Linked DNA regions of Pelodiscus sinensis. The protein of the gene in region 2 interacts with the protein of the main gene of each other region in a biochemical or structural test. Links are inferred from orthologs where the notes say so. Each region holds a gene or a part of one and is shown on either strand. Other genes may lie near its edges.

Region 1 (15,363 bases), on a different chromosome or scaffold from region 2:
CAGAGCAATAAAGCTTTTAGCTTACTCGTTTAAAATAAGATGTTTTATCAAATGTATTAGAAATTGTTACTTAGAGGAACGTACAGAAATTATAAGACACATACGAAAAAAATGACAGTATACCAAATCCTCTAGAGCAGGGGGTCTCAATCTCCTAGCACCTTCCCAATTTGGCCTGCAAAATATTTTGAAAAAAGTTATTTAATAAGGTTTGTGTGGCTCCCAACCCAAGAGTGTGTACACAAAGGAGGGGAGGGGAGGATTACACATCTAATCCTTACACATGGTTCCTAGCAGTGCACAGGCTCCCAGCACCCACATAGTCTCAGCCCCAAAGGGTGCAGCTCGGTCCAGGAAGCCATGAGGCTGCCTCTGCTATGATGCACTGACCAGGGATCCACCCAAGCTAATGTGCTTCTGCAGCCAGTGGAGCAGGACAAGTGGTTTTTGCTTTCAGTTACCTTCGGTAGAGGCGGGGGATCCCAGCAGGAGGAAGTAACAGGTGTGTGTGTAGGGGGGAAGGGGGCATTCCAGTTTGAGGACATGGGGGTGTCAGGGTGAGGATTTAGTTTCATGTCTTTTGTAGGATCCTGGTCTCAGTCTAGGCTCCTGGACACACTGGGAGACACTATCAACTTGCACGTACTGTATTGTCAACCCCAAGCATTTAAAACTCATTAATCAGCCTCCCCATCTTCCCAAAAGAGGGTGACTTCTTGAAATCACAGATAAAAATACACTTGGGGATCTTTTCCGTTGGATGTGGCATTTGAGCTCTTTGGCTGAAATTGGGGCACATTTTCTAGCTTTTCTCCACAAACTAAGAGATCTAAAGCCTTTTTTTTTTTTTTTTAAGGGAAAAGGAATCTGGGATTCTCTCCTAATACTGTGCATCAACAAACAACCATAATCTTCTAAGTCAGAGTGACCACAGTTGATAGTGGTGCATGAGACATCAGGTAGTTAAGTTCCCAGATCTGTCTTAATTCTAATTAGGGATGCAAGGGAGTAGTCGACTACACAATTCACCTAGGCTTATTGGATAGTCAAGTCCACTACTCATATTCCCCACCCCTTGCTGTCTCTAAAAAAGCCTGTTCCCCCAGCACAGTCTCCATGGTGCTGCCTGTTTCCATCCTCCCGCCCTCTTTGCTGCCTCTATTAGAGGCGGGGGCTGCTTCACAGCAGCTGCCGTCCGCAGGCGGTCCCAGCAGAAAGTTGAGACCTCTTGAAGACAGGGGCTGCTGCCATAAAGTATCCCCTATCCACGGCGGCCTGGCCACAGACAGGGGCTGCTTCACAGCAGCAGCCCCTGTCCTAGGAGGTCCTAGTTTCCCACTGGGATCCCTGCAGACAGGGGATGCTGCTGGCTAGATAGGCAGCCTGGCTTAGTCCTGGCTCGCAACGGGTGTGGGACCAAACCCCACTGCAGCTCTGCAATTTAAAAGGCAGTAGGAGCAGGGCAGTAGCAACCGCTCCCCCCTCCACTCCCCGCAACCCTCCCAGAGCCTACTGCATTTTAAACTGCAGAGCCACAGCTTGGACCCAGACAGGCAAGAGTTAGGACTGAGCCAGGCTGGCTCTCGATTAGATTAATCGAGCAATTGATAAAAATTCTATGAATTACTTGATTAGATACCTGCCTCTTAACATTCCTAATTCCAATAACGTTCCTGAGGCTTTCCAGGAAAAAAAAAAGTCTAATTATCAGGAGGTTGATGATCAAACCAGCGAAGACGGTATTACTGAGATATAGTCAGGTTCACAAAATGAGTTAATAGTTTCATGGCTTATACTTATGGACTGGATGGGCTCTGCACACACCTCCACTGGCCCACAGGGAGGTCCCAGCAGTGGCATGGAGCTAGAAGTAGAAAGCCATTCTAGCCCCACTGCACTGCCAGTTGTGGCAGTGCAGGCCCCAGCAAATTCTAAATTGCTAGAGAGTTGCATGCTGGGTTGGGGGGGGATACATGTGGGGGGAGCATGCAGGCCAGGATGGGGGGCTGAGAGACATGCGGGGGGAGGGGACTGTCAAAGAGAGGGTACATGCTGGCCCACTAGGCCTGTCACCTGCCCTAAGGGAAACTGAGCTTGAGACCCCGGCTTTAGAGTAATAGATAGGCTGTCAAAATCAGGCATTGAAATATTAAGATGCAAATATCTGACATAAATGTCCCCCTTTTCATATACCATGCTCATTCTGTCTGGCAAGATAATCCATACCATCAGCTTCTGGTACTCCACGTTACTACACCTAATGAAGCCTTCCCTTTGTATAATGACCTAAATAACTTCTCTTGGCTTTTAAGGAGGTCAACCAAGCAGCTGTCATTTCTGGTTGGATTCTTATGCTACATGTGACGGACCCGCCCCACCCCTGTTCATAGTTCTAAAGTGAGCAAGAATAAACTTAAGCCATAATTAATTCAATTTGACATTATTCCCGACTTTGTCCTCACACCCAGTTTCCACTATTTGGTCTCAATATGCTAGAAAGTTCTGCTATCCCATACACCTTGATGACAAAGGGTGATATCCAATATTTAAGTTGTAATAAAATGAACGTTTGTTTGTCTTATGCCATAACTTCAACCAAATAGCTTTTGAGGGAAAAACATACCTGTCCTGCTACTGCAGCAAAATACCCATACAAAGGATCTTGAGTCTGCCCCGGAAACACTGGTCCTCCAGGAGCAGCACCATACTTTAAAAATAAGAAAAACGATTTAGATAAAATTAATTTTTAATTGACTACAAAATGCAGCGACTTACATTTCAGCATCAATTTTGAGGGTCACTTTTAATATACACCTTGTTGAAGCATATAAAATGCTTTAAAAGAGAGCACACGACTTGGTGCATATACTTGCTACACCGTAAGGCATGCCAACTTAAAAATCTTACATTTGAGCTAGCCCAGTGATCTAGCAGAAGCACAGAATGCCTAAATTGGGTGTATATGTCACCGTCATTATTGGAGGTTTGCATGATAGCTCATTCCATACAATCCTTTGCTAATCTAGTCCTTTTGATCCACATAGGATACCATATCATCCATTGAAGATCTTCTTCCATGTTATGTTTTCTTGCCATCAACTTTCCCTTCGAGTGCTATTAAACATTTATCACCCACTGTAAACTGAATATGTCTTTTCACTAGCATTTGCTCAATTCTATAGTTCAGATTGGACCTCTATAGTCTGGTCTTCAATCTTTTGGCAACATGTGTGGTCTGGTCTCTTTGTGGGTGCTCCAGGGTTGAAGCATTTATGTGGAAAAGCCAGGCACTGCACTCAACTCCCCTGCTCTCCCAGAGCTCCGCCAATAGGTCATTAGCTGTGCTCAAGTTCAAGGATAGAAGGGTATGCTCAAGGTGCCTGCAGAGCCCCATGGGCAGGGGCCAGGAGCACAACTGGGTGGCCATGGGACTCAGTGGGCTAACGCGGGGTTTGGTGCACTCCCAGCCCCCAGCTGCAGGGCTCCACAGGTGCCCTGCCTCTTCCTGAGCACCCCCACTCCAGTTTCTGCTCAGTCAATGCCAGCTCCTCCGCTGTCAGACAGAACCCCACAGCTGGTGGCAGCAGCGGGAACGCTATCGGATCTTTTTTTGTTTTGTCCACCTTCAACTCTAAATTAATCTCCACTAAATTAATCAGATCCCATTCAGAATCAGCCACCAGCACTATATAACCTGCATAACAAATATGCCTAAATTAGAGAGTCAAATTTATACTCTAGTTTTCTCCATTACTGGCACAATGTGGGGACCAAAGGGAGAATATTCTCAGGGCTCACCAGTTTTGATAAAAGGACAAGAATTGTTTTTTTTTTTTTCAAAAAGAAAGTAATTTTCAATTATTAAACCTTGACATGCACATAGCGAAATAATGGAAGCATATTGAAATGACAAAAATATTTCAATAGAAAAAACTGTATCAAGCTCTGTAACTTTATAGCACCTGCTTACATTCCTATTGGCAGTCTCCAGAAGCAAAGGACTCAATGCTTACACAGTTACTTTCTCATTTCAGCTTAAATGTCAAAATAGAAATCCATTAAGTATCTGGTTAAACTAAGTGATAACAAATCTACTCTAGACCCACTCTCCCACAAGTATCATTGATAAAATGGACCATCAAAACAGACGAAACTTGGCTTATGTAGTAACTCAGAATACTATCAATTTCTCAGTACCCTATGAGTCCTCCACATTCGGTCAATGATCTGAATCTCATTACGAAAATGGATTTACAGTTGGCTGCAGAGCCACAGCAGGGCTACCTCCCGGGGCTGGCGTAAGCCGGAAGTGAACAGCCCCAGCTCGCGCTAGCTCAGGGACCTCTGTGGCTCTGTCTCCCCTGCTCCGCTTGGGGGAAACAGCTTGTAAGCCAGCTCCCCCCAGCACTGACTCCTTCTTCCCCTCCTATTGCTGCCTCTGATACAGAGGCAGATGGGGAACGAGTATTCAAGTTGTCACTCAACTACTGACTAGTTGCTTACATCCCTAGTGCAGACAGTTTCATAGCAGCAAAACAAGTGCTTCTGTCAATGCACCTCAAGGGTCGGCCAACTTTCTGAAGCAGTGTGCCAAGATTTTACCCTCCTGCCCTGTGCCGTGATGCTCTCCCGGAAAAGACTCTCTCCACCATGCACACCATGGACCACTTGGGTCAATGCAAACCTTGGGTCAATGCAAACCACCAATTGCTAATGGAAACTCACCATTAACTACATAATTATGCCCGAGCTGTTTTTCTAGTGCTGCAGCTAGGGAGAATGGTTTAATTTAAATTAAACAGATTAAGTGTTTTAACTTTCTCATGCTCATTTATCAAACTTCATTATAAATAAAGTAAAATATTAATTTATGTCCAACACAAAAGGTTTCAATGTTTTCTTTATTTATGGCAGAGGTGAGGAACCTTTTTGGGTTGGGGGCCACTGACTATAGAAAAAAAATCAGTTGGGGACCACATAAATTTGAAGGAGATTTTTGCTTCTCAAAACCCCAACCCTCACTGACATAGACCCCAACTGAGACACCTCACTATTCTGGCACTCCAGCTCCATGGGGTGAGGGGAAGGAAGAGGGAGGACTGAGGTTCATGGCTTCCTATAGGCCAGATTTACTTTCTGGGGTTCTAGAGTGAGTGGATTTTGTAGACACCCTTAAACTCTGGGGTGGGAACAAAAAAGAGGAATTCAACATGTGGGACAGGGCTGCCAGCGAATGGGATGGGATGCAGAATCTGGGCGGGAGGTGGGGTTCAGCAGGGGCTGAGGAGGATGGGGTCTGGAAGGGAGTTTGGCAGTAGGAGAGGTTGTGGGGTGGAGGTATAAGAGGGGCTTGGGAGAGTAATGCAGAAAAGGTGAGAGGGTGAGAATGCAGACAAATAACTAGTCGGGGAGAGAGACAAAGAAGTGGAGAGTATAGAAAAGTGAAGCTTCTGCAACGTAAAATTGTATCTCCTCTCCCCCAGCATCACTCCCCTCAGCCACGCGATTCTCCAGCGTGATCCCCTGCATCCTGGTTCATCTCTCCTCCTGCTCCCACATCCCTGTGCTCCCAGCACATTCACCAGCAGCACTGGAATTTGCAGGGGTGAGGTAGGTGGAGGGTAGTGCAGAGTCACTTCCCTGCCTCATCTGCAGGCTGCAGCTCCAGGGCTGGGGAAGGCAGAGCCTGGGGCTAGTTCCCCACCCCTGCACACAGCTTGCAGGGAGCAGCATGGCACAGCCCATTACACCAGAGTCTCCAGTCACCCAGCCCCAATCTGTGGAGCAGCCCCAGGCCAACCCTTCCCAGGGTTCTAATCCCGACCCTGACAACAGAGACACAGAACTGGAGCTGGCTGGGGCTCCATCATCTTGTCTGCCAGCCTGCTGTTAAGTAGCCCCCTGACCCAAACCCTTCCCCCCCAGCTCAGCCCTTGGCTGAAAGCTCAGATGTCACTGGAAGAAGGAAATGACAAACTGTAGTGCCGGGTGGAGAGGGTTAAACCCTTAGCACCTGGGAGATGCTTGCCAAGGGGCAGGGGCAGCTCCAGGGACGCAGAGCTCAGTGCAGGGTTTTGCTGGGCCACTCTGGATCCTACACCATGCCACTCTTATGCCTCCCCTGCCCCACCCCTTCCCAGCAGGAAGCCAGAGCTGGTGCTCCAGCCTGCAGCTGTGCAGCAATCCTGAGGCTGGCAGGGCTGAGCTCCTGCCCCACATGGCACAGAAAATCAGCTCATGTGCCATTTATGGCACGTGCACCATAGGCTGCCAACCCCCATGTAGCTCACAAAGGCTTGGTGAGCAAAATAATTCCACCCTCTCTAACCAACATTTATATACTGACATTTCCAGTATAGGCCTGACCTATGCTCCTGTCTGTTGAAGCACAAGCTCATTCTTCATTTCCAAGCTCAGTGTTACTTATACCCACAAAGAGAGCATTCATGTTTTAACCAAAGCTTTGATTCTAACTAAATTATTTTTGTTTAACAAAGGATAAGTGTAGTATGTTATCACCTCTACTGAGGATAATAGAAGGTTGTCTCTTGACTTGGTTTTGCTGGAGCAGGGAGGGGATTCTAATCAGGTAGCCAGCTTTTCAGAGGCATTAGGCATCTACAGCTCTCACTGATTTCAATTAATACCAGCACACTGAAAGAGACTTCCACATTATTAGAATTCTATTGTTTACAGTCAGTTGTCTGGGCCAGCAGCTTTTTTTGTATTCCATGAAAAAAGGGAAAACTATGGGACACAATAGCTTCCGGGTCTGCTAGAAGCAGCAGCAAAAATCCCCAGCTAACTGTAGCAGAAAAACAAAACCATTAACCACTTCAGCCTTGCTACTGAAGTTTGCTGCTCTGACTCTCTCTCTCTCTCTTTCCATCCTCCATCGCTCAGGTACTCCAACCGGTTTACATTTGTTCTGAGGATTGTTTGCATGATCACCCTAACCAGACAAATACTTTCACGAGGGCTAAGAACCAGCTTGGACTGAACCAGCATAGGACTCGCAGGAACAAAACATACCGAGGTCAAGCCGAGTGGCTCTTCGAAACCTCCCCAACCTGCCGCTTTTGTAAAGAGTGATGGGGGGGGGGGGGGGAAGAGGGGAGGAGAAGAGTACTCTGAAGTCAGCAACTGAAGCTGAGCCTTTAGAGCAGTGTTTCCCAAATGGTGTTCCCGGGAACCCCAGGATTCCGCAAAGTGAAAATAAGGGTTCCGTGAGAAAATTCCATTACAATAACATGTTATTATTAAAAAAAAAAAATATTAAGCATTTATGGATTTTATTGAAAACAATTTTCATTTGTGTTGCTCTCATGACGTTGTTTAGCATTGCTTTACTATTATCCTTACTTATTTGGGGTCTACTTTTTCAGCTATATATATATATATATGGCTGCTATTAGGGGTTCCACAAAATTCTTTTGAGTTTAAAAGGGTTCCGTGGCCAAATAAAATAGGGAAACACTGCTCTAGAGAGAGGCCGCATATGCGGAACAGCCACTGCGCAAGCAAGCGGTTCAGAGGCAACGCGACTAGGCCGGGCGCGCCCCGCAAAGGGGGCGCGGCGGGGCAGCCGAGCTCCCGGCTACACACGTCGCAGGCCCCCAAAAGCGCGTCTGACCCCCACGGGCTCCCGCAGGCACCTACAGCCCGGACACCGCCACAGCCCCGCGCGGGTGTGTGTGTGTGTGTGTGTGCGGGGGGGGGTTGAGTCGCCACTTGCCCCCCCTCCCCCGGCACAATGGCGAGTGGGGGAAACGCCTCCCCCGAGCGGGTGGCCGTTCCCCTCCCCCGCACAGGCAGCCGGGCGGCTTACCCCGCTCTGGTAGTAGCCTCCGCCGGGGTGCCCGGGATACGCCATGTCCCCTAGCGCGCCTCTGTCGGCCAGTCCCCGACCACTTCCGGTGCTGCGACGGCGCGTTATTTCCGGTTCCTGCCCGTTAAAAAACCCCCAAACTGCCGGCTATGTAACGTGTTTTGCTTTTCTTGTTCCCCTGCGTGTCTGGCGTGGGCGGGGGGCGCAAGGAGGGGGGGGGGGAGTCGGAAGGTGCAGCGACCTTTTTTTGGTTCTCCCCCGTTTTTTTTTTCTCAACCAAGTTTTTTTCCTGCTATTTTTCAGGAGTTTGGTAAAAACATCGGGCAAGCCTAGGAGCGAGCTGTACTCATTTAAAGGGACAGAATCACTGCCTAATGCAGGCATATACTGTCACAGCCGGGTCAGCGTGCGTGTTATAATCCTGCCAGCAGGCACTCATTGGGAGCTGATCGTGTAATAGGAAGAGTTAGAATTAGTGTTCAGGCAACAGTCGTTCCCACAGTCTGTCACCAGGCAGTTTCTACCAACTGCACAGGCTGACAGTTCCTAAAAGTAATGTGCACAGTTGAATGGGAGCGACTGGCAATGAGACTATTTAAAATGGCAGCTGACGGTGCGAGTCGCAAAAGCCAGCTACTTATAGAATCATAGAATGCTAGAACTGGAAGGCTGTGTCTAGACTACATGGCTCCATCGATGGAGCCATGTAGATGAGGGTTGTAGGCAAAGGGAAATGAAGCCGCGATTTAAATAATCGCGGCTTCATTTAAATTTACATGGCTGCCGCGCTGAGCCGACAAACAGCTGATCAGCTGTTTGTCCGCTCAGCGTGCTAGTCTGGACACTCCGCGCCGACCTGAAAGCCTTTTATCGATATCCCGGTTATGCCTCGTAGGCTGAGGTTTACCGGGGATGTTGATAAAAGGCTTTCATTTCAACAGGGCAGCGTCCAGACTAGCGCGCTGAGCCGACACACAGCTGATTAGCTGTGTGTCGGCTCAGCGTGGCAGCCATGTAAATTTAAATGAAGCCACGATTATTTAAATCGCGGCTTCATTTCCCATTGCCAAACAAACAAATCTACATGGCTCCGTCAACGGAGCACCCCAGCACCCTGTCCCCTGCTTCCACTGGCATCCTGTCCCCTGCCGCAGAACCCCGTCCCATCCCAGCACCCACTGGCACCCTGTCCCCTGCCCCAGCACCCACTGATATCCTGTCCCTTGCCCCCACTGGCACCCTGCCCCTCCTCCCACTGGCACCCTGTCCCCAGCACCCACTGGCACCCTGTCCCCGCCCCAGCGCCCTGTCCCCTGCCCCAGCACCCACTAGCACCTTTCCCCAGTACCATGTCCCCTGCTTCTACCAGGACAGTTGGGGCCACATTAGTGAGGCTTGGGGGTTTTGGGAAGAGTTATTTTTTTGCATCTCACTTGTGTGGCCACAACTGACTTTTCTGTGGGTCAGTGACCCCTGACTCAAAACAGGTTCCCTGCCCTTCTCATAAATAAAGACAATGCTGAAACTTTTTGTGTTTAACATAATATTTATTTAAAAATGAAGCCTGGCCAACAAACCCCCAACTGGGGCCAAGCCCCCATCTGGCCACAGCTTCATAACACTCCTGCACCACCCCACCCCCTGACCCTAGATCTGAGCCTATCATACACTGGAACCCCCTGTCCTGAACCTTTCACATCCCCAAACTCCTGCACTCCCACATCCTCAGTCTTCTGCCACAACACTTCTGCACCATCCACACACTGCAAATCTGTGTCCTGAGCTCATCATACTCCCAACCTCCCTTTCCTGAGCCCCTCACATATCCCAACCCAAACTCTTGCACCCTCACATCCACAAGCCTGTGGCTTGCTCAGTACCCCAACCCTCCACCTGACCCCAACACTCCCCAGCCTGGAGCTACCTCCCCGACCCAGTGTTCCCTTCTCCACCTCCTCCAGCATCCAAATTCCCTCCCAGAGCTTGCACCCCTCACCTCTTCCCAAACCCAAATCCCTCATTCCCACCCCAGAGCCCACACATCCTGTCTCAACCCAGTGAAGGTATGGCTAGACAGCAGGAGTTTTTCTGGTATTCCAGAGGTATCTCGGAAAAACTCTTCCGCACCAAACATGCTCTTTCAGTAACCCCTGTATTCCTCGTTCCATGAGAAATAAGGGGGCTTCCGAAATAAGGGGTTTTTCTGAAATTTGGCCCAGTCTAGACAGGCCAAATGTTGGAAAAAACTCTTCCTACAGAAGAATAGAAAAAAAAAAAGCGGCAGTGTAGCCGTACCCTGAAGCTGTGTCTACATTGACACCCTTTTCCGGAAAAGGGATGCTAATGAGACAAGTCAGAATTGCAAATGCCGCGGGGGATTTAAATATCCCCCGCGGCATTTGCATGAACATGGCTGCCGCTTTTTTCCGGCTCGGGGCTTTGCAGGAGAAAAGCGCCAGTCTAGACGGGATCTTTCGGAAAATAAAGGCTTTTCCGGAAGATCCCTTATTCCTCTTAAAATCAGGTCCTTTCTCCCCCGTCCCGCCCTTGGCTTGATCTGGTAGCACTTTCCAGCAGTGTGGAACAGACATCAGGGGAATAAGTGAGTCTGACGCCTCCTGTGTCTGAGACCCTTGCAACAGCAGTGCGGGGCTAGAAGTCACTTTGGTCCCTAGTTTACGAAAGGGAAGCTGAGGCACACAGAAGGGTAAGTGACTTGCCCAAGGTCATGCCACAATTATCATCTACTTAAATTTGATTCTTTCATATACAGTATTCTCCATTAATTCATTCAGATTAATATTATAGAACTAGCGGAGGTAATAATATTTCAGCCATCTGAGGAAGCTAGCAGTGATTCCTCTTATTATTCTTTAGATTTTATAAGAAATTAACATGCATGCTATTGAGAATCATAGCCCCTTTCCCAGCTCACATGGAAAGAATATTGAAGGGCTGTTGGTCAAGCCTAGACTAAGGCATAGTTCTGTCAGATCTGGCGTAGTGTTCAAAATATACAAATAGTTAATTCAACGTCATGGACAGTGTCATTGTAGCCATGTTGGTCACAGGATAGTAGAGAGACATCGTGGTTAAGGTAATATCTGTTATAGGACCAACTTCTCTGGTGAGAGAGACAAGCTTACAAGCTAACACAGAGTTCTGCATGTCAACCATTCATTCAACCTTGCAATGCCTTTTTTCATATGCAGTTCTTCCAATGGTGTTTTATTCTGACCTATAGCATCCTTGCGATTTTACTCTTTAGTGTCTATGGGTACGTCTACACTTGCACCGTAGTTCGAACTAGGGATGCAAATGTAGTCGACCGAAATTCCTAATGAAGCGTGGATTTAAATATCTCGTGCTTCATTAGCATGATCTCGCCGGCGCATTACTCTGCTGAACAGCTGTTTCGAAAGTGAAAGTTTGCGCCGGGATGCATTAGTTTGAACCAAACACCTTGGTTCAAACTAATGTTACTCCTCAAAGAATAACCAAGGGGTTTCGTTTGAACTAACATGTCCCGGTGCACACTTTCAGTTTCGAAACAGCTGTTCAGTGGAGTAACGTGACGGCGAGATCATGCTAATGAAGTGCAAGATATTTAAATCCCCGCTTCATTAGCAATTATTTCGGTCACCTACATTTTCATCCCTAGTTCGAACTAGAGTGCAAGTGTAGACGTACCCTTTAGCATTAGCATTCACGGAACACAAATTGCACAAGAGCCAACAATGTGATGATGCTGTTTTGAAAAATGTTTTTATTTTGGGTGACATAACAGGAATGCTATTTTTAAGGTATTTGGTAATTGTCAGCACTGGTAGAGTTCTGGGCACTGCACTTTAGGAAAGATATGGACTAATTGGACATAGGAGGAGATAATAAACATTATAAAAGAGTTAGAAAATCTGATCTATGACAAAATGTTAAAAAATCCTGGGCATCTTTAGTCTTGAGAAAAGAAGACTGAGGTGGGACCTTATAATAGTCTTCAGATATGTTAAGGAAAGGACTGCTGTAAAGAGAAATGTGATCAATTGTTCTCCATGTCCACTGAAGGTAGTATAGGAAGCAATAGGCTTAATCTGCAATAAAGGGCATTTGGGTTAACTGTTAGAAAAAGCTAACTATAAGAGTAATTAAGCTCTTGAGCAGGCTTCCAAGAGGTTTTATGGATTACCAGTAATTGGAGTTTTTAAATAACAATTTGGATAAACACCTCTCAGGGATGGTTTAGGTTTCTTTGCCCTGCCTCAGGGTAAGATGCTGAACTTTGTCTTCTTGATGTCCCTTTTAGTCCTACATCCTTATAATTCTGTGATCTCACAAATTAATGTACATGATTTTACCTCATTTGCCATTTGCCTATCTCTTAATCTTTGGACTCCTATAACATAGGATGCATTGATCGCTTTGAAGAGCAAATGATCATGTGACAAACTAAAACTGTAAGAAAAAAAGAGTTCGTTGGCTTGTGATAATACTGAAGTATCATAGGAAGAGTCTTGGCGTACAAAATGAACTTCATTGTTACAAATATAATGTTCATAGTAACAAGATTTCAAGAAACACCATCCTAATTGTCACCCTTGTTTGCAGTCTGAGGCTAAGTCTACATGTTGGAACTGAAAGTTTTATTCTTTTTATATTTGTATTTTAGGTTTAGTAATGTAGTAATATAATATATATATATAATTTTATTTAATATTGTGGTAAATTAAATTCTTTAGTTAAGTATATATCTCTTATATTTCCCTGTTCTAAAGTTTAGTAAGATTAGTAAGTAAAGAAACAGGATCTCATATTGTGTCTATGTTAATGAGTATAGAAATATTGAAGGTCCGGGCCTTCGATGTGAATTGTTTTGATTTTGCTTTTGCTTAATATAAAACAATACTGTTTACTTTTTGAGGGATTTTGTGAAAGACTATTTGTGTTAATGAGATAACATGTGAAGGTCATCATTAGAGCCAGATGGTCAAGAGAGAAGGAGGGTAATGGGAGTGAAAACAAACTGTAAAAGACAGACTGCGAAAAAACATATCAGCATCAGAAAAACCATCAGTGCGTACCCACGGTCAAGAATTGATCAGATTGGCAGAATTGATGGCTCTAAAGGTGAAGGGTGGGCACCAAAAGTTAACCGTAACCGGTCACAGACTGACACAGTGAAATCCATAGAGGAGAGGATTATAAAAGCAGGGTGCCTTGCTATGGGACTTTGGGTTCGTCTTGCCACCAACTCCAGAGGAGCATCAGATCGATCGACCGACAAAGGCCCTGCTTTTCCTCTGTGTTCAATCTAGCTGGCTGCTAGACTGATACAGAATCTGGACAGATAACTATAACATCATCTGGTGGGACTGTGTGTGTATGGTGTTTGTGTGTGAGTGATTGAAAAGCATATGCAACTGTTGTATTCTCAGTAAACTGCCTTTCCCCAGTAAAAGATCTCGTGTGCTTCATTTAAGCAGTAACATACACAATAGCCTTTTTTCAAAAAAAGCTATGCAAATTGTGTTCCAGATAAACAGGGCCAAATTGCGGAATAACCTCCTCTTTTGAAGGAGCCCTTATTCCTCGTAGAACGAGGTATACAGGGCTCCCCGAAAGAGCGCGTTTGCTCTTCAACAAAAAAAAGCAGAAGAGCAAACGCGTTCCCTGGAGATGGCAGAATTTTTCCAGGATACTTCCAGAATCCCAGAAAAACCCTGCAGTCTAGATGTACCCTCAATGATGAGAGCATAAAGGCACACAGCGCTAAAAATGTCTGACAATATTTTCTATTTTCAGACTTAATTTTCAGAAGATGGCAACATAGTGAGTTATGGAAGAATATAAGTTTGTCAGATTTGCTAATAAAACTAATTTGAAAATATGAATTATTACTGTGATGTGCTGGTTCCTAGAAACATGGCCTATAATAAATCCTATGTTCACATGCGTGCTCTTACAGGGAGCTGAGGGACAAGAGCAATCTATTCATTTGTTTTTTCTATTAAATAAAAGCACAGCCTCACAAACATTAGCAGGGAAAGAGTCAACACCACTTGGCAGACAAGATTATATTAAGTGCATTTGCTGAAAACATTTATACTCTGTTCCTGAAAATTATGCTGCATTTATCAAGAACATAGCACAATATCCAGTTTCATCTAGATGTGTGGATGAAGACTTTTGAGGCCGAGGGTAGAGGGCATGTAGAGTATCAGCAGACTTTTAAATAGTTTCGGATACAACCTAGTTCATTCAAAAAGGTTAAAAAAAATGTGTTCCTCAGAAGTTTGAAGCCCAAGAATAAGCCATTCTTAGCAGGATGAATTAGTAGTATCTAAAATGGTGAATACTTACGAGGAGTAACAGTAGTTCGGACTAGGAAGCCTAGTCCGAACTACCTAGTCCGTGCCGCGTGTAGCCGCGCGGCACGGAGTCTGCACTAGCGGACATTTAAAAATGGCGGCGCCCGGCTTTATGCAAATGAAGCCCGGGAAATTCAAATCCCGGGCTTCATTTGCAACTCCGGTTGCTTACATTACCACCCTAGTTCGAACTAGGGTGGTAGTGTAGACATACCCACAGAGAAAATTTGTTTTTGTTAAAACGCACCCAAAACTCCATTTGAACTCAGTGAGAACTACATACTTAGCAATGAAAAATATAAGGTCTTTCAAACTGGACACCCCAGATCAAATGCTGCCTTTGAGAATTTTAGTTTTGCTTCAGTGAATTAAGTATCTGTAACTGGAATATAATAAGACCTGCTGCTGCATTTACATGGGAATTTGGGGTGTAAAGAACTTCAGTGGGAATCTACAGGTAAGGCCAGAAAACAAAACTTCATTTTCACACAAAAATTAAAGGTTTTGACATATTTTTCTGTTCTGACAAGGAATTAAAATTAGACCTTTTGGCTTTTTTTGTGGAAATAAAAGAGGGAAATAAATATAGGTGCTGAACTAGGGTTTCTGGGTGCAGAAGCATCCCTTGGTGTGAAGTGATTTCCTTCATGTTGGGTTTACAGTTTGGTTCAATGGCTGTCAGCACCCTGGCGATACAAATTGTTCCAGCACTCTTGGAAATAGACTTAGCCATCCCAGAATAGCCGATAGCTCAGTGTTCAGAATCAGGATACTCATCTGGGATGGGTGAAAGGTACAGGTTGTTGTTCTGAATCATGCCGGCAAGTAGTTGAATCTGGGCTTGCCACATCCCTGGTGAATACCCTCACTGCCAGTTAATAGAGACATTATCTCTAACTTTGGTCCATGAATATTTAATTATTTATATAAAGTGGAACTACTCCACCACAGAGTTTGAACATGAGATTGACTCTCTATCTCTCTCTACCTCTCTCTCTCTCTGTTGAAACAGATACATTTCCATGAAAGTTTCAATAATTGTTTTCCAATGAAAATTTTTTTCTCAAAAAATTCCCAAACAATTCTATTTATAATAGAGTTTGGCATTTTTCTCTTCTAAAAATGAGAGACTGATTTTCATTGTGTTGTGAAAGGTGAGTTATTTTAAAT
Region 2 (15,639 bases):
TCAAGTAGCAGGATACAATTTCTTAAAACACGCCACAGCATCAGTGTTTCTCACAAATTATGCGGTCTTTACTGCTGCAACTGCCAGGGCATCAGGAAAGGCAAAACAGGAGGGTTTGGTTCTTTAAATCCAAGATGATAAAAATAATGAGGATAGTTGTTCCACTTCAATTGTTGCCTAACCGAGCCAGCAAATCAGAGTTATCATCTGTGTATTTAGCTCTTGTATGTGGTATTATTCCAGTGTTTATTAACCACTTCTCAGCTACCTGCTTTCTTTAAAATAATTTACAAAACTGAACCACACCAGACTCCCACTGAAGCAAAAATGGCCATTCATAAAAACTTCTCCTAGAATGAACATGACTCTCAGCTCATAATTATCATAGAATATTAGAACTGCAAGGGACCTTGACAGATCTGCAAGTCCAGTCCCCTGCCCTCACAGCAGGACCAAGCACCATCTAGATCATCCCTGATAGATGCCTGTCTAACCTACTCTTAAATATTTCCAGTGATGGAGATTCCACAACTGTTAGGCAATTTATTCCAGTGTTTAACCACCCTGATAGGCAGGATGTTTTTCCTAATGTCCAACCTAAACCTCCCTTGCTGCAGTTTAAGCCCACTGCTTTTTGTCCTATCCTCAGAGGCCAAGGAGAACAAATTTCTCCCTCCTCCTGGTAAAAACCTTTTAGATACTTGAAAACCACTATCATGTCCCCTCTCTTCTCTTTTCTAAACTAAACAAGCCCAATTATTTCAGTCTTCCCTTATAGGTCATGTTTTCTAGACCTTTAATCATTTATGTTGCTCTTCTTTGGCCCTTCTCCAATTTCTCCACACCTTCCTTGAAATGTGGTGCCCAGAACAGGACACAATACTCCAAGTGAGGCCTAATCAGTGTAGAGTAGAGCAGAAGAATGACTTCTTGTGTCTTGCTCACAACACTCCTGTTAATACATACCAGGGTAGGAATGGGGGAGAGAGCATCTTGGAGGCCAGTGTCTAGGCACTGGTGGGGGGTTATTCCTGATGCAAAGGAAATGAGTTGGGAGGGAGGCAAAGGATGATGACCCTCAAAGTGGGCAAACTTGGAGAAGTGGTAGGTTTGTGTGTACAGATGCAATGCAAAATAACACGTGACTACTTAACATTAATTACCATAATGAATATAAAAATAAATTAATTGCCATAATATGCAAATGTTTCTATACCCATCCACCACAAGTTTTTGAATGAGTTTGCCAGCGCGCAGTATAAACGTGGTTGGGAACCTCCATTCTACAGTACACCACTTAAATCCTGCAATTAGCAAGGAGAGTATTTACAGATCCAGTAGCTCCATCCAGTACCTTGCACAATCTGCATGGAAGGGCTGGAGCTACTATTTCAGCTTAGAAACCAGAGCAGCAGCAACCCCTGGTCCTGGATTGAGGGAATCAATTTAACCTCTGCATTTTACCTGAATAGAAACTGAACATGTAGATTGTACGAAGGTGGGGTGACTTTGACCCCTACGTTTTCAATATACAACATTCTATAGTAGTGGTTCCCAACAGTACTGCAGGGATCTGTGGCAAGTTTAAAAATAAAGATCAGGCCCACTATGGTTGGCCCAATCCTTACTTTTCCTCCCCCTCTCCCCCGCCTTCTACAAGGAGGGGGAGGGTCCATGAAACGTTAATAGATTGAAAAGGAGTCCATATGCTAAAAGAGGTTGGGAAGCATTGTTCTATAGAAACCAACGGCCCATCTAGCCAGTATCTCATCTCCTGACTGGCCAGCAGCAGGTGCCTCAGAGGGGGTGAGCAGAACAGTTCATCAATTGATCCAACTCCTGTCACCCATCCACAGCTTCTGGCAAAGAGAAGGGCATGTAACTTGCTCATACGACCCCGGACTCCCATCTTGCACCATACTTTTCCACAAACCAAGGCTGACAGCATCCTTTCCACATGGGGAAAAAGTAAAAAGAACCTTTGAAGCATCTCCATTTTACCTCTTTCCTGCTCTGATCTCTGGACTATAGACTTACCCTAGCCAAAGACCCAAGGACCTTCCGATCTTTTGGAAGTTACTAGAGACATTACAAGTTTGCAGTTTGTTTACTCTAGGATTTCCAGGTTTCTGGTTTTGAAGGGAACAGCTGATTGAAAACATGGTTGTAAAATCCTGATTAATCATTTAACAGGTTAAATCTAAGGGGCAGGCAAGAAGCAGCTCCTGCCCCTATCAGTTAACCAAAACCAGTAAGCCTTACCTATTAAAGTTAAAGTTTAACTGGTTAACTTTTTATATCCCTAAATCATTACCAAATAAAAATTACTAACACTGAAAAACAAATATTTTTAGCTTGTCTAGTTTGCTTAATTCCATTAATAAATTATAGCCTTAACTAGTAAGCTTGCCACTCAAGGGAAACTAAAGGAAGTTTATGAAACCAAGGTATAGTTCCCTTAACATAAGTTTTAAAATACCAGATATTAAATGCATTATATAGATCTGAGCTATATCACAGTTTGGCTGTACTGCAAAATCAACTGTTGAAGGATCTGGTTGCAACACTTGTTTCCCCAAAACAAATAAAACAGACCAGTTTATCAAGTTGTCAAAATCTCTGATTAGCAAATTAACTGCCAGTTCACGCTTGTGACCTCTGTAACACTGCCAACATATGCAAATAAAGCTGCCTCTCCTTAGCTTGTTTAAACTCCCTCCCATGTGTCTATTTATTCACCTGTTGTGTAAATTGTTTACTGCAAGCTTTCTGGGGCAGGGACTGTGTCTTATAACAATTCTCATGAGGCCCTAACCACTATTTTGGTGTCTTTAGGCAACACCTACCGCAAATACAAAAAAAGCGTTTGTGTTTCTTGGCCTGCTTTTTTAATTTTTATTTGAAAATAATTATTTAAAAGTTATTCAAATGGTTTGCATGGACACCACAGTTCAATAATACCTCCCATATTACAACTAGACTGGCATACACAACTCTCCAATCTGGTTCAATCCTCAACCACGGCTCAAATACTGTTGTAAACAGTTTTCAAAAATTAACCTGGCAATAACATTTACTGAAATAGCTTTCAGTATGTGCAGATATTTTTCAGAAGAGAAACTGAATCACTTGCATAATATTGCACTACGTACTTATTAAACAATAGCCAGCTGCATGAACACAGCACATGAACTGACTTATCTCTTGCATGCCTTAGAATAGCATTTCTCAGTCTTTTTGATACCAGGGACCATCTTCTTGCTGCCTTCCTAAATAGTATAAGGGAGATCTCACAGACCAGTCCACTGGTTTAGAGTATCCCAAAGCAACACTGAGACTTCACCCTTTGTTAAGGGAGTTTTTTATTACAAAACTGATTCAGTCAACAGAAGCCTTTTTTAAGAATGTAGCTTAAGTTTCAGGATTTTTTCTTAACAGTTTGTGAAGCATGAAAGCATTTTCGTTGAAGCATTATTCAAATATTCTTATAATCCACCCTGAGACACAGGTCAGCAAATAATATTGACCACTGGAGTTTCAAAACTCTAGAATTATGGATCACGATTTTCTTTTTTTCTGTTCAAAAAAGTAAAATTGCCTTTTAAGTGTTAAGAAAAACGTATGTTTATTACACCATGAATGAGTTAGTTGGAAGACAGACACAAACAAGTGCTTGAAAAAAATATACTGTACTAGAGAATAAATAGGCAAGTTTTCCTGATAAAAGGAGTCTAAATCATCTTTCAGTTTCAATACATTTCTACCCTCACAACGGCAAGGACAATGTTTGAAATGGGAACCAAATGTAAACAAATGCAGTGCTGTCTTCTCTAGTCTGCAAGCCACTCTACAGTCAGCCTCCCCTTTTGGTCATAACCTCTGGAAGAAGCAGAGAAACAAGACTGATAAGAGGGGGTAACTATTATTACCCTGGACAACTATGAAAAGGACAAGAATTGTGTTAGTTTCACAATGGCCCGGTTTGGAAAAAAATATGAGCAGCAGGGCAGGTGCTAGAGCTATTGGCACTGGATTCCAACAGCGGTCCTCCCTCGCTCCTGGTCTTTGCTAAGGGCCTAGGACTAGTACAAATATTGTACTATGTACCACTGAGAGCTCTCAATTGCCTCCTTCCTAGAAAGTGTAATCCAAAAGCCACTCTAGAACTTTAGTTTTCAATTTGTTTGTTAGCCACCCTCTGTCTGCAATTTCTGCAGCCCCCAAAGTTTTCCTCCTTTGCAAAAGCAGCAGGAAAGAGATGTGGACAGTAAAGCAAAAACATTAAAAATCTAATAGAAAGAGCAATACAAAGTTGTAGCTGATCCATTTTATTGGGTGAACTTGAAAATAAAAGGGCAAATTTAAGACTACCTACCAGTCTTAACTTGGTCGTAGGAAAATACACAAAGGATTAAGAGGAACATAAGAGCATCAACACATTATTTCAGCTCCTAATTATGCAAGCAGACAAGTCCGAGAAGAGCTTTGCGGACGGAAGCCAAGTGTGAAAGGGGTTTGCAGAGTAAGCACGAAGACGCGGTCTCTCCGGCGTCTACAGAGCTAATCTCAGCACGGGAACGATTTACGCGTCTCTGCGCCAGGAATCCAGCCAGGAGACCGAGCTCGGCTCGAGGGCAGCGCGCCCCGTGATCGCCGCGGGGCTCTCCGGAGCTCGGGAACAAGCCGGAGTCTCGTTTTCCAGGCGGGCGCTAGGAAGGGCGAGGGGAGGCGGAGAACGGGGCCTCGCCGTGGGCAGAGCGGCCCGCACAGCGTCTGCGCTACGACGAGGCCCCGTCCCGTCTGACGCCAGCTCGCGGGGCCCGGCCCGGCCCAGCCCAGCCCGAAGCCGCCGGGCCGCGCCGGAGCCCCCACCACGCCAGTCTCCGCCGGGCGGGCAGGACTCGGCCGTCCCCGCGGTGCTGCCTGGCCCCGGAGCTCTGCGCCCGCCCGCCCCGCTCACCCCGGGGAGGGGGCCCAGCCCTGAGCCGCCCCCCACTCACCTGAGCCGCGAACCCGCCGCCTCCGCACCGCCCGCAAAATGGAGCCCGGGCCGCCCCGCCCCGCCCCTCTAGCGCCTCAGGCGGGGGCGCTGGGAGCCGCGCGCCTCTCCCCTCAGGCCAGCGGGGAGCGCGCGCCGGGCCGCTTCCCCCACCCACAGCGCGAGGCCGCCGCTTGCGGGGGGTCCCGGGGTCCCGCCCCCGCCCCGCCAGCGTCTGGTGCGAGTCCCCGGGAGCGCGGGGCCGGGCACAGGGCGGCCCCTGGGCCTGTCTTAGCAGTGACCAGCCGGGGGCTGCGAATCGCCGCCCTGTCTCGACACGTCCCTTGTGACTGAGCGTCCCCGGCCTGCGGCGCTTTGCCGACGCGCGAGGCTTCTCCTCAGCCCGGCTGCTGCAGCACAGCTCGCTTAACGGGCAGCAACCCGCCAACGGAATTCTAGGAGCACCTCATCAGCGGCGCATCCCATCTGTGCCAGGGCGGGAAACCTCGGCCCCGCTTGTCGGGATCCAGCCCGAGGCGCAGGGCTGAGCCAGGCTGCCCCGCCAGCCTCCCTGCTGCCCCGCACAAGGCTGGAGCACACCATGTATTAGCCTGGGGCTCGGCTGGGGGGAGTGTCTTTCTCCTCAGGAAGGAGGTGAGTTGGTGAGGGCTTGAGTTGGGGTGGGTAGGAGAGATTATCACTTGTGTATGGCCCCTGACTGATTTTTCTCTGGTCATCAGGCCTGCAAAGAGCAATTCCAGGCCTCAGGGCAGAGTTGTCTATAAGACACACAGGCAATGCCAGATGCAGTCTGCCTGACACTTAGGCAGTGCTGCAACATCACTGCTGGGTGAGCTCATCCAACATGGCCAGAACTTCCATACTGGCTAATCTCACAAACCCAATGACCCCTGTCCCACCCCATCCATCTCCCTCCCTCAGACACTCCCTCTCCTCCCCTTTCCAGGCTGGGGCAGGGACACAAGCTTTAAGAGATTTTAGGTGGAGAAGGCTCAGCACTGGAGCAGGGAGTTAGGGTACAGGGAGATACAGGCTCTTTGGCAAGGCATTTGGATGTGAGGGGCTCTGGGCTGAGGCTAGGGCAAGGAGCTGGAGTGCAGAAGGAGGTGCAGACTCTGGGAGGAGTTGGGGGATGTGAGAGGAGATGCAGGCTTTGGGGGAATGTAGGTGCAGGAGGGGGTACAGACTCTGGAACCATTGGGTGTGGGTGCTAGGCTGGTGCAGGAGGGCAAAGGCTACAAGTTAGTCTCTAGCTATTAGAGAATGACAACAATGGAAGAAGCAAATTATCTCACATCTACCTAATGGCAGGATTTTACACCTCCCTCTGGATCACATGGAGAGGACACCAGGAGAGGAAAGATACTGGACTGGATAGAAACCCTCCTTCCACCCCTCTGTGGAAAAAAATGAGTTTACCTAGCAAACAGCAGCTACTTTGTAGAAAACAATAGTCAATGTCTTGAGTACATAGTGTACATAGAGAGAGTCAGCAGATGCTAACAAGCATGTAAGAACAAATTCACCTTCATTGGGGAGTATATTTACTCACCATCTTTTTGACTTCCTACTTCTGAAAGAGAACCCTTCTCCCCAAATTGTCAGCAGCACACAAAGCAAAATTATCTTATTTCAATAGCCCCCCCACACACATTGGAGTAGTGGCATTCCCCCAACATCTACAGGAGGCATAATAGAATTGAGGGCTGCATGTACAGACCTAGATAACTTGTGTTTTTGTAGTACTCATCCTCTGAAATTCTAAAGGTATTTTACAAAAGGTGAATATGCCAGTTTGTTTGGGGGAGCTGGGAAACCAAAAGCACAGAGCTTACGCAAAGGCTGCCCAGCAAGTCAATAGCAAATCTAGGAACAGACCCTAGGATTCCTGGCTGCAAGTCTTATGCACTAGCCCTTAGACACCATTGCCTCCCAAAGTGCAATACAAAATGTAAGTGATGAGGCAGCAATTGTCCTGGTTTTAATATATTAAATTTCAGTCAACTGCTATCAGTCACTCTCCCCCACTTTGTATCAGCAACGGTTCTGGTGATCTTTGCACCAACAGATTAAAGTACAAAAAGCCAGCAGCATGTGTCACTGAAGTGAGTCTAAAATATCTACTATCAAAACTTCTGCACCATCTTGTGACCACAGTAATTACAATGCAGCAACAGTAGTGAAGCTTGGCTAAACTGACTTACCCAGCCATGTGTGCAAGAAGCCAGTTCTGTTCAGCTGATAAGTAGAAAGAATATTGTGTTTGTTTAGTGGCAGAGGAAGGGCCACTCCCCACTGAATCATCTGGTTAGAAATCCCTCCCACAACACTAGTGAGCAGCAAACTTCAACTAAAGGATTTGTAGGTGGACTGCATCCATTATTTCTCTGGCTCTGCTAGGTGAAGCCACGCTAAAAAGCTTACTCTGCCTGCAATCACCACAATGCATGGAGCAGGTCTGATTCTGCTGTGTTATTTTGGCATGAGCATGTCAAGACATAGCTCAAGCTTATGGCAGCAAAAAGTGTGACATGTCAGTGCAGCTATTTGCCTGATTTTGTAATTGGTCACACCTCTTGAAATACAGTCATCTAGACAGGCAAGTTTTAACATGAGCCTCTATTTTTACTTTGCTTAAGCACACACATCTTGAAGTAGCACAGTGCAAATTTTTCCATAATTTCTTACTCTACTCCCACATGAGTGGTCATCAACACTATAATTGCTCTGAACAATGTAGCATTAGGCCACTTCATAGTGCTCGTGCAAAAAATCTGATGCAATATGCCATGCAAATATGGAACACCTCTTGATTATGCTAACCAACTGTACCAAAGAACTCAAAGAACTACAGTAGAACAGAGTACAGAAAAGCAATGTAAGAACTAGGGGTCACCAAATGAACTACGCAAGTTTAAAACAAAAGAAAATGTCTTTGCACAATGCAGTCAATCTGTGGAACTCTGTCAGAAGAGCTTGTGAAAGCCAAGACTAACAGGATTCAAAAAAAGAATTAAGTAAGTTAATGGAGGATAGGCCCATCAATGGCTGTGAGCCAAGATGGCATCCCTAGCCTCTGCCAGAAGCCGAGAATAAAGCAACAGGGACTAGATCACTTGATGATTACTTGTTACGTTCATTCCCTCTAGGGCACCTGGCATTGTCCATCATCAGAAGACAGGATACTGGGCAAGCTGGACCTTTGGTCTGACCCAGTATGGCCATGCTTATTTTCAGTTAGGAGCAGGGCTTGTTTGTCTGTTTGTGGCTTGACATCGGCATCACAGTGAGAACAGTGTAGTAGAAAGAGCCTGAGATCAGTGGGCTCTGATGGAAGGTCTAGCACCCAAATTAAAGTCAAGCCCTGGGCTTTTACAAAGCCAATGCCTGCAGGTTCACTGTCCAATACATGAACTCAGCAAGAACAAGATTGGCATTGACACAAACACACCTAAGGATTAAGTATTCATGTAAACACATGCCAGAGCATCCTAGGACCATATCAATGGGAATATATTCCTCAAAGAAGATAAGGACACACTGACCCCTCAAAGAGCAGGTCAGGCTAATAGGATGTTTTGATCAAACATGTACAAGGTAAAAGCTGGTAACCAACCACCTCAGAGGGGCAATACAGAATTTGTTTGTATGAGTGTATAAAGAGGGGGTCTCAGAGGGGATGTGTCTGTCCAGCAAAAGGGAAAATCCTACTATTGACTGAGCTGGTCCATCGTAATGGGGGAACACGTACGATTGATTCTGTAGTCTCTACAGCACTTTCCAAAGTGGCATGCCAAGATTTAATTCTCCTGCCCTGGGCCTCTCGGGGGAGTGGGGTGGAGGGAGAAGAGGGGCTCTCTCCACCACACACTCCGTGGACCACCTGGGTCAATGCAAACCTTTCTGTGGACCATCAATTTCTAATGGAAATTCACTGTTAATTACATAATTATGCCCAAGCCATTTTGCAAGTGCTGCAGTTAGGGAGAACAATTTAATTTAAACTATTAAACAGATTAAGTGTTTTAACTCTCTCATGTTAGTTTATCAAACTTTAATTTAAATAAATTATAATATCTAACAAAAGGTTTCAATGTTTTCTTTATTAATGGCAGGGGTCACTGACCCACAGAAAGATCAGTTGGGGACCACACAACTCAGAAGCAAAAAAACTCCTCTCAAAACCCCCTACCCTCACTGATGTGGCCTGCAACAAAGACTCTGACAGTCCAGCCCCCACAGGGTGAGGGGAAGGGAGGAACTGAGGTTCAGGGCTTCCCATAGGCCAGATTTACTTTTCTGGGGTTCCAGAGTTGGTGGATTTTGTGGCCCCCCTTAGGGTCTGTGGTGGGAACAAAAATGAGGGGCTCAGTGTGCAAGACAGGGTTGCCAGCGAGTGGGATAGGGCTGCAGGATCTGGGCAGGAGGTGGGGTCTAGGATGTGGTGAGGAGAGCAGTCTGGAAAGGAGTACGAGAGGGAATTTGAGGGCGAGAGGGGGTTGGGGGAGTAATGCAGAAAAGATGAGAGGGTGAGAATGCAGCCAAATTGCTAGCTGGGAAGGAAGGCAAAATGGGGAGTAAAGGAAAATGCAGCTTCTCCAAAGTAAAATTGTAAATCCCCCCCCCCATCTTCCCTGTGCTCCAGCCTTGCTCCCCTCAGCCCATGATCCCGCCCAGCCTGATCCCCTGCATTGCCCCATGCCCCTTCCCGTTCTGCCCCCACATCCTCCTTCACCCCTCCCCATCCCTGTGCCCCCAGTGCACTCACTAGAGGCAGCAGCGCTGGGCAAGGAGAGGTGGTGGGGGATAGTCTCTTCTCTGCTCAGCCCAGCCCTTTGCCTGTATCTCCGTGGCAGATGGAGCCTGGGGCTGCCCAGAGCTGGCTCCAGCCCAGTCGAGTGCAGTGGACTGCTAGGGAAGGGGCTCCCCATCCCCACAGACATCCTACAGGGAGCAGCGCAGGCCCAGCTCTACAGAGGAGGCCCCCCACTCCCCTCCTGAAGCAGGAGGCAGAGCTAGGGATACACGCGTATCCCACCTCCCTGTACCCCACAGAAGGAAGCCAGAGCTGGTGCTGCACAGAGGGTGGGGGGAGCAAGGCTGAGCTCCCACCCCACCTGCTAGTAAAAATCAGCTTGCTTGCCACTTGTGGTCTACAGGGGTGTCTGGACTACAGGGTTTTGTCGACAAAAGTGGACTTTTGTTGACAAAACTATACCTGCATCTTCACTAGCGCCGAGTTCTGTCAACATTATATCGACAGAACTCAGCAGTTTTGTTGACGGTGGTAAACCTCATTCTATAAGGAATAACACCTTTTGTCGACAGAAGGCATTATTGCGTCTACACTCTCATGTCAAAAAAAGCAGCTTGCTTTGTCGACAGAACTTGATGTAGTCTAGAGGCGCTTTGTTGACAGTTTTGTCGACAAAGCCTGTAGTCTAGACGTATCCCAGGATATTAGGACTATGCTTCAGCAACCAACCGGGCTTAAGTATCTTCACTCTTGAAATGAGTCTGTGCTGCTCTTGGGCAGTTTGATTGGAACCTACTAGCGGGCCCCAAGTTAGCTGCCAGAGCTAGTGCAGTACCTAGAGAGAATACCACATGCAGCTAACAACTGATGAGGGGCCGCCAAAGTCAATGGTTTGAAAGGCTTAGCAGTCTCACTGTCTAAGTTTCACCATGAGGACCATATCACAGCGAGGGAGAATGCTTATCAGGCCTTCAACATATTCTAATGAAAATAAAAGCAAAAACACACAATTTTTTAGTCTCCTGTGTAAATGCACCAGTCTGTTCCTGCATGTACGGTAACATGGCTGACTCATGATCACATCCTGAGCCTCATTTATGCTGTACTAAAAGACTTACCCAGCATTGCTCAGGTCCTTCAGGTCAGGGAGCTGGCAGTGTGGGAGATGCATGAGTAAAGACAGAGGGTTGGGGATGTGGGATGCTCAGGGCAGGAGACAGGAGATGTGGAGGGTGCAAGAGTCAGGGTTGGAGAGGAATAAGGGGCTCAGAGTGGAAGAACAGGGGACTCAAGGCAGGGGATGGGAGTGACTGTCAGTTTCTCCCTGACACTGTGTGGCCTGGAGGCTGTTCAGGCTGCTCACTGATGCTCCCCTTGCTGCCCTCTGTAGTCATGCATGAGTATAACAGTCCCTACTATCCCAATCCTCCCTTTCAGTTTGATACAAAACAATTACCTTCTATGCACATCCCACTATCCTGGCACAAGCAAACCCTGACCTTGCTTTAAGTTATGATAAGAGGAAGTTGCACATCAGATTTGGTGGTCCTAGCTCTTATTGTTTAGGAGAAGTTCTTGAACAAACTGACTCTCAGCCAGATAGACATTTCTAAAATATATAGTAAGATTTTGCAGCTTTAGCTATTTGTATAGTAGCATCCTCTAGTACTCTGCATTACTATGTATGCACAGGATCCACTAAAATTATCTAAGTACATATTGAGATGTCATTCTTGGACATACTACAAGTATAATGAACCAATTTTCTCTAGCCGGTTGATCTCCTTTAACTGCCTCTTTCTCTGAATCATTATAGTAGAAGTCTGCTGAAAGCTACGTATTGAAGTTAAATAACAAAGGTTAAGTGAAGCACTCCAAAAATCAGGGAGTGAAAGGTAAGACATTGTAGGAATGAGGTATTTAAAATATTGAGTGAACTTATCTCCACCTCATTTAACATACACATTCCATTTCCTTGACAATACAGTAAGAATCTTAAGTTTTGTTAAAAGAAATTTCAACTGTCTGGACACTTTACAAACTCTGCAAGAGATATCACCTCTTCTCTGCTTCCTAGAAGTTGTGTAAATTTTCTTCCGAGATGCATAGCAAAGACGACAACCGTCTAAATGGATATTGCGGTAATACATGGCTTTATTTGAACAGAAAGCATACTACCACACAAAAGCTGCCATTCTGAAACTGGTTAGAAAATAGGGACAGAAAATCCATCACTAGAAAACCCAAGAAGCAGAGCTTTTCCTAAAAGGATACCCAGTAACCTAAAAAAAACCCTGCATGGATAAAAGCATAAATGGAATTGCTGAAAAATTTAAATTTTCATTTCCACTAAATGATATGGCACTACATTCTATGGCTCCGTACGCATGCTATGGTGCATCCAGCTGACCCTATTCATTACCTGGGATCTCTTCTCTGGGAACTCTACTCAGCATTGCTGCTCCACATTGATGAAGATCTCCTCCCACTCCACATTATATAATACGGGATATAAAGGTGGTTGTTTTTATCATGTAATTAGTCAATCCTACATCCAATTTAAAGGTGTCTATTACCATTTCAAAATGTTGACATGCTTCTTTGTATACTGTTATCTTAAACAGTGTAACAACTTCCCTTTTCATTTTGAGAACTTTGTACTTTAATGTAGTCTGTCGATGGCACTCTGTTAACTGAAACCAATACAGTTTCATAATTTCAACCCATAAAGTATTATTGGGGGAAATCAAGCTTATTTCACCATTGTCATATAGCACAGTGAACTGCAAAAGGAAACAATTAAGGCCAACTTGCAAGACTATTTTGCTTGGAGAACTAATAAAATAGCAACATCAGAAGAGTTGAAAGACTGTAAATTGAAGAATTAAGAGGGAAAATGAATTTTTGTTCGTTCAAACTTGTTTAAACAAAGCCATGTTTAACATTTAACTCTAGTGACTAAACACACTGGAAAAAGGAAACCTTTAATGTAAATTCAATATTCATCCATTTTGAGCTTTAAATTAAGATGCCAGAAAGCACAATAAACCTCCTGGAGATCTCAGCAAACCTCTACCAAAGCTATGAGTGTCTACAGGCCTTTGTCAGATATACAGAAGCAGAGAGGACACAACCAGTTTTTTAAAAACATTCTTTACAGGCCACCATTAAGAGCCAGATTTGAATTGTGCATCTCATTTCAAAATATGTATCTGAGAAATTAACAGATGGAACCAGTGCAATACTAGCTTTAACATTCAGCTGTGAATCACAGTACAAAGACAAAAATATGGAAGTTATAATTATTTGTGCTGTCTGGCAGGAGCCTCTCAGGCTCTCTTCTTTGAATCCTCTGGTGTGCTAATATTTACAAATGACCAGGCAAGGAAGTTACTCTAGCAGATACATCTGCTCAATGACAAGTCTGACTTCAAGTGTGAGGTCAGTTACCAACCTCACTTTTCACCTCACTTCAATAACCAACTTCTACTTTGTTTCTGCATACTGTGTTCTACAACTCTGTGTTCTTCCACAAATGATTCAACATATAGGTGACTCTCAGCTGACTGTACTGCTCCTGCTCAGATTCTGGTGCCAGGCAAAAGCTACTGTACAGAAACAGTGACCAGCATCTAGCATAATGGAACCTTGGTCCAGGATGAGGGCTCCCAGGCACTATGAACATTCTGAAGACCTGAATGAAGAGAATTTTTCTTGTCCAACTGCCTTCTGGTAACCATGAAGGTACTTCAAGGCATACTTGAAGGCAAGTAGAGTGACTGACCCCAGAGGCATACTATAGAACTTGGCTCGCTCCCGTGAGCTCTAATTTCATCTCCCGAAATGAATATTTTGAAAAGACACTATCACTACATAGTGAGACAGAAGAGACACCTACATATAAAAAGTCGCTCTTACAAGTGGAAAAGAAATTTTATTTAGACTCAGCAATCCTCACAATACAATGGAGTTGGTTTGTTAAATACATGGTCAGTCTGGGACAGTAGTTCATAAGCACTGAAGAGGAGCCATCGACTATTTTTAGCAATGGGCTCACACCCAATTTGATTCAATGTCTGAACCACAGGGCAGAATGTGAATCAGAGGAATACTGGGGGATACTGAGTCATTTAGGCAGATACATTATGGTCCAACTGAATTCAATAGCAAAACAGAATGCTGGGAGAGTAGCTCTGCTGTGTCTTCAGGCTCTCAGGTGTGACAAGGCAGGGAGCTCCTTATAAGCTCAGAAGTTTTTCATTGAGAGCAATCTGTGACTGCGTGAGATTTGCCAAGTAGGTCACCATCAGCAGATCCTGAGAAAGAAAAATGGACAGCAGTTAGACTGATTAGAGTAACAAAGAGAAGAGAGAAAGGAGTGATGTCAGAGACGTGCAAATGTGCTTCATTAAAGGAATTTACAAATAGTGCAGTTGCTAAGCACTATTCTTCAGAGTGACACCTTTGGCTCCACAACTTATTTTCCATTTCAGACACTCACTGGTCTGGAATACCGACCATTCACATAAGATTCAGCACTCAGAGTACTTTTTATCTATAGCCCTCAGAGCATTGCAAGCATTATTCTCATTTCACAGACAGAGAAGTAGCAACTTGTGCCCTTAGCAATCTCTGACCACCTTACACAGCAGTGATTCCCTTTATCCAACAATGAACTGAAGTAGTTGCTTAATAGCACACACCACCACTACACAGGACTGCAAAAGAATACGTGAACACTCTAGTCCAGGGATTCTCAAACTGTGGGTTGGGACCTGAAAGTGGGTCATGACCCTATTTTAATGGAGTTGTCAAGGTGTAGTAATTTGTTATCAGAGGAGGGTCTCAGTGCAAATGAAGTTTGACTGGAGTAGCAGCTCTCAATCAAAACTGCAGGGAGAATGAAGGGAAACAGTAATTACAAATACTGGATTTTAGCTAGAACCTGAGGGGCAAAAACCCTATCCCTAGGGAAAGTGATCAGGGCCTTCGTGGGTATAACACAGCCAATGCATTCCCCAAGGCAGCATGCGTGTGTGTGGGGGGGGGGTGTCAATGAATCAAACCCAACTCAGAGGATATGCTCCTACTGAATAACTACCACCTTCTGCTGTAACTAGTTGATCCCTGGATGTCTCATCCAACTACTAAACTAGTTGGATCCTGCTTATAACACTTGCCACTTCTACAAACAGTGCACTTGAGAGTAGGGTTCTAATTTATAGCTGGGCAAACTGAGAACAGAGGTTGTGACTTTCTCCATTTATCACAGGAATCATAGAATCATAGGACTGGAAGGGACCTCGAGAGGTCATCGAGTCCAGCCCCCTGCCCTCAAGGCAGGATCAAGCTCCGTCTACACCATCCCTGACAGATGTCTATCTAACCTGTTCTTAAATATCTCCAGAGAGGGAGATTCCACCACCTCCCTTGGCAATTTATTCCAATATTTGACCACCCTGACAGTTAGGAATTTTTTCCTAATGTCCAATCTAAACCTCCCCTGCTGCACTTTAAGCCCATTACTCCTTGTCCTGTCCTCAGAAACCAAGAGGAACAAATTTTCTCCTTCCTCCTTGTGACACCCTTTTAGATATTTGAAAGCCGCTATCATGTCCCCCCTTAATCTTCTTTTAAGATGAGCTGGGAACTGAATCAGGGCTCAATCCCATTGCTTAGGGCATGGATACACTCTGCTTAGCTTGTTAGAGCTGGCAGGCTCATACCAGGTTTGTCATGGGCAACACGCACATCACAAAGTCCTTTGAAAAAAAAATTGAAGCCTAAGGTTACTGGTCAAAAATATTAGGCACCTCACCTTTTACCCCAGATGCCAGTCATCTTTCAAATCCAGACTACAGTAAGAGCAGGCTATTTACACTCT

Evidence for each region.
Region 1: the proteins of ANXA7 (region 2) and SRI interact in a biophysical measurement, tested with the Homo sapiens proteins (2 studies listed by BioGRID and IntAct, with this or other methods). The link is inferred for Pelodiscus sinensis from reciprocal best matches to the Homo sapiens genes ANXA7 and SRI.

The regions. Positions count from the first base shown.
Region 1 is NC_134712.1:216,577,810-216,593,172, reverse strand, and holds the start of SRI (sorcin), read right to left. Parts: upstream 7,969-15,363; 5' UTR 7,874-7,968; coding exon 7,829-7,873; intron 2,708-7,828; coding exon 2,624-2,707; intron 1-2,623. UniProt on the Homo sapiens protein: Calcium-binding protein that modulates excitation-contraction coupling in the heart. Contributes to calcium homeostasis in the heart sarcoplasmic reticulum. Modulates the activity of RYR2 calcium channels.
Region 2 is NC_134718.1:4,145,412-4,161,050, forward strand, and holds the start of ANXA7 (annexin A7), read right to left. Parts: upstream 7,330-15,639; 5' UTR 7,212-7,329; coding exon 7,204-7,211; intron 5,468-7,203; exon of another isoform or gene 5,449-5,467; coding exon of another isoform or gene 5,444-5,448; intron 5,122-5,443; exon of another isoform or gene 5,001-5,121; intron 4,961-5,000; exon of another isoform or gene 4,376-4,960; intron 1-4,375. Other genes in the region: EIF3F (eukaryotic translation initiation factor 3 subunit F), read right to left, coding at 13,994-14,071. UniProt on the Homo sapiens protein: Calcium/phospholipid-binding protein which promotes membrane fusion and is involved in exocytosis.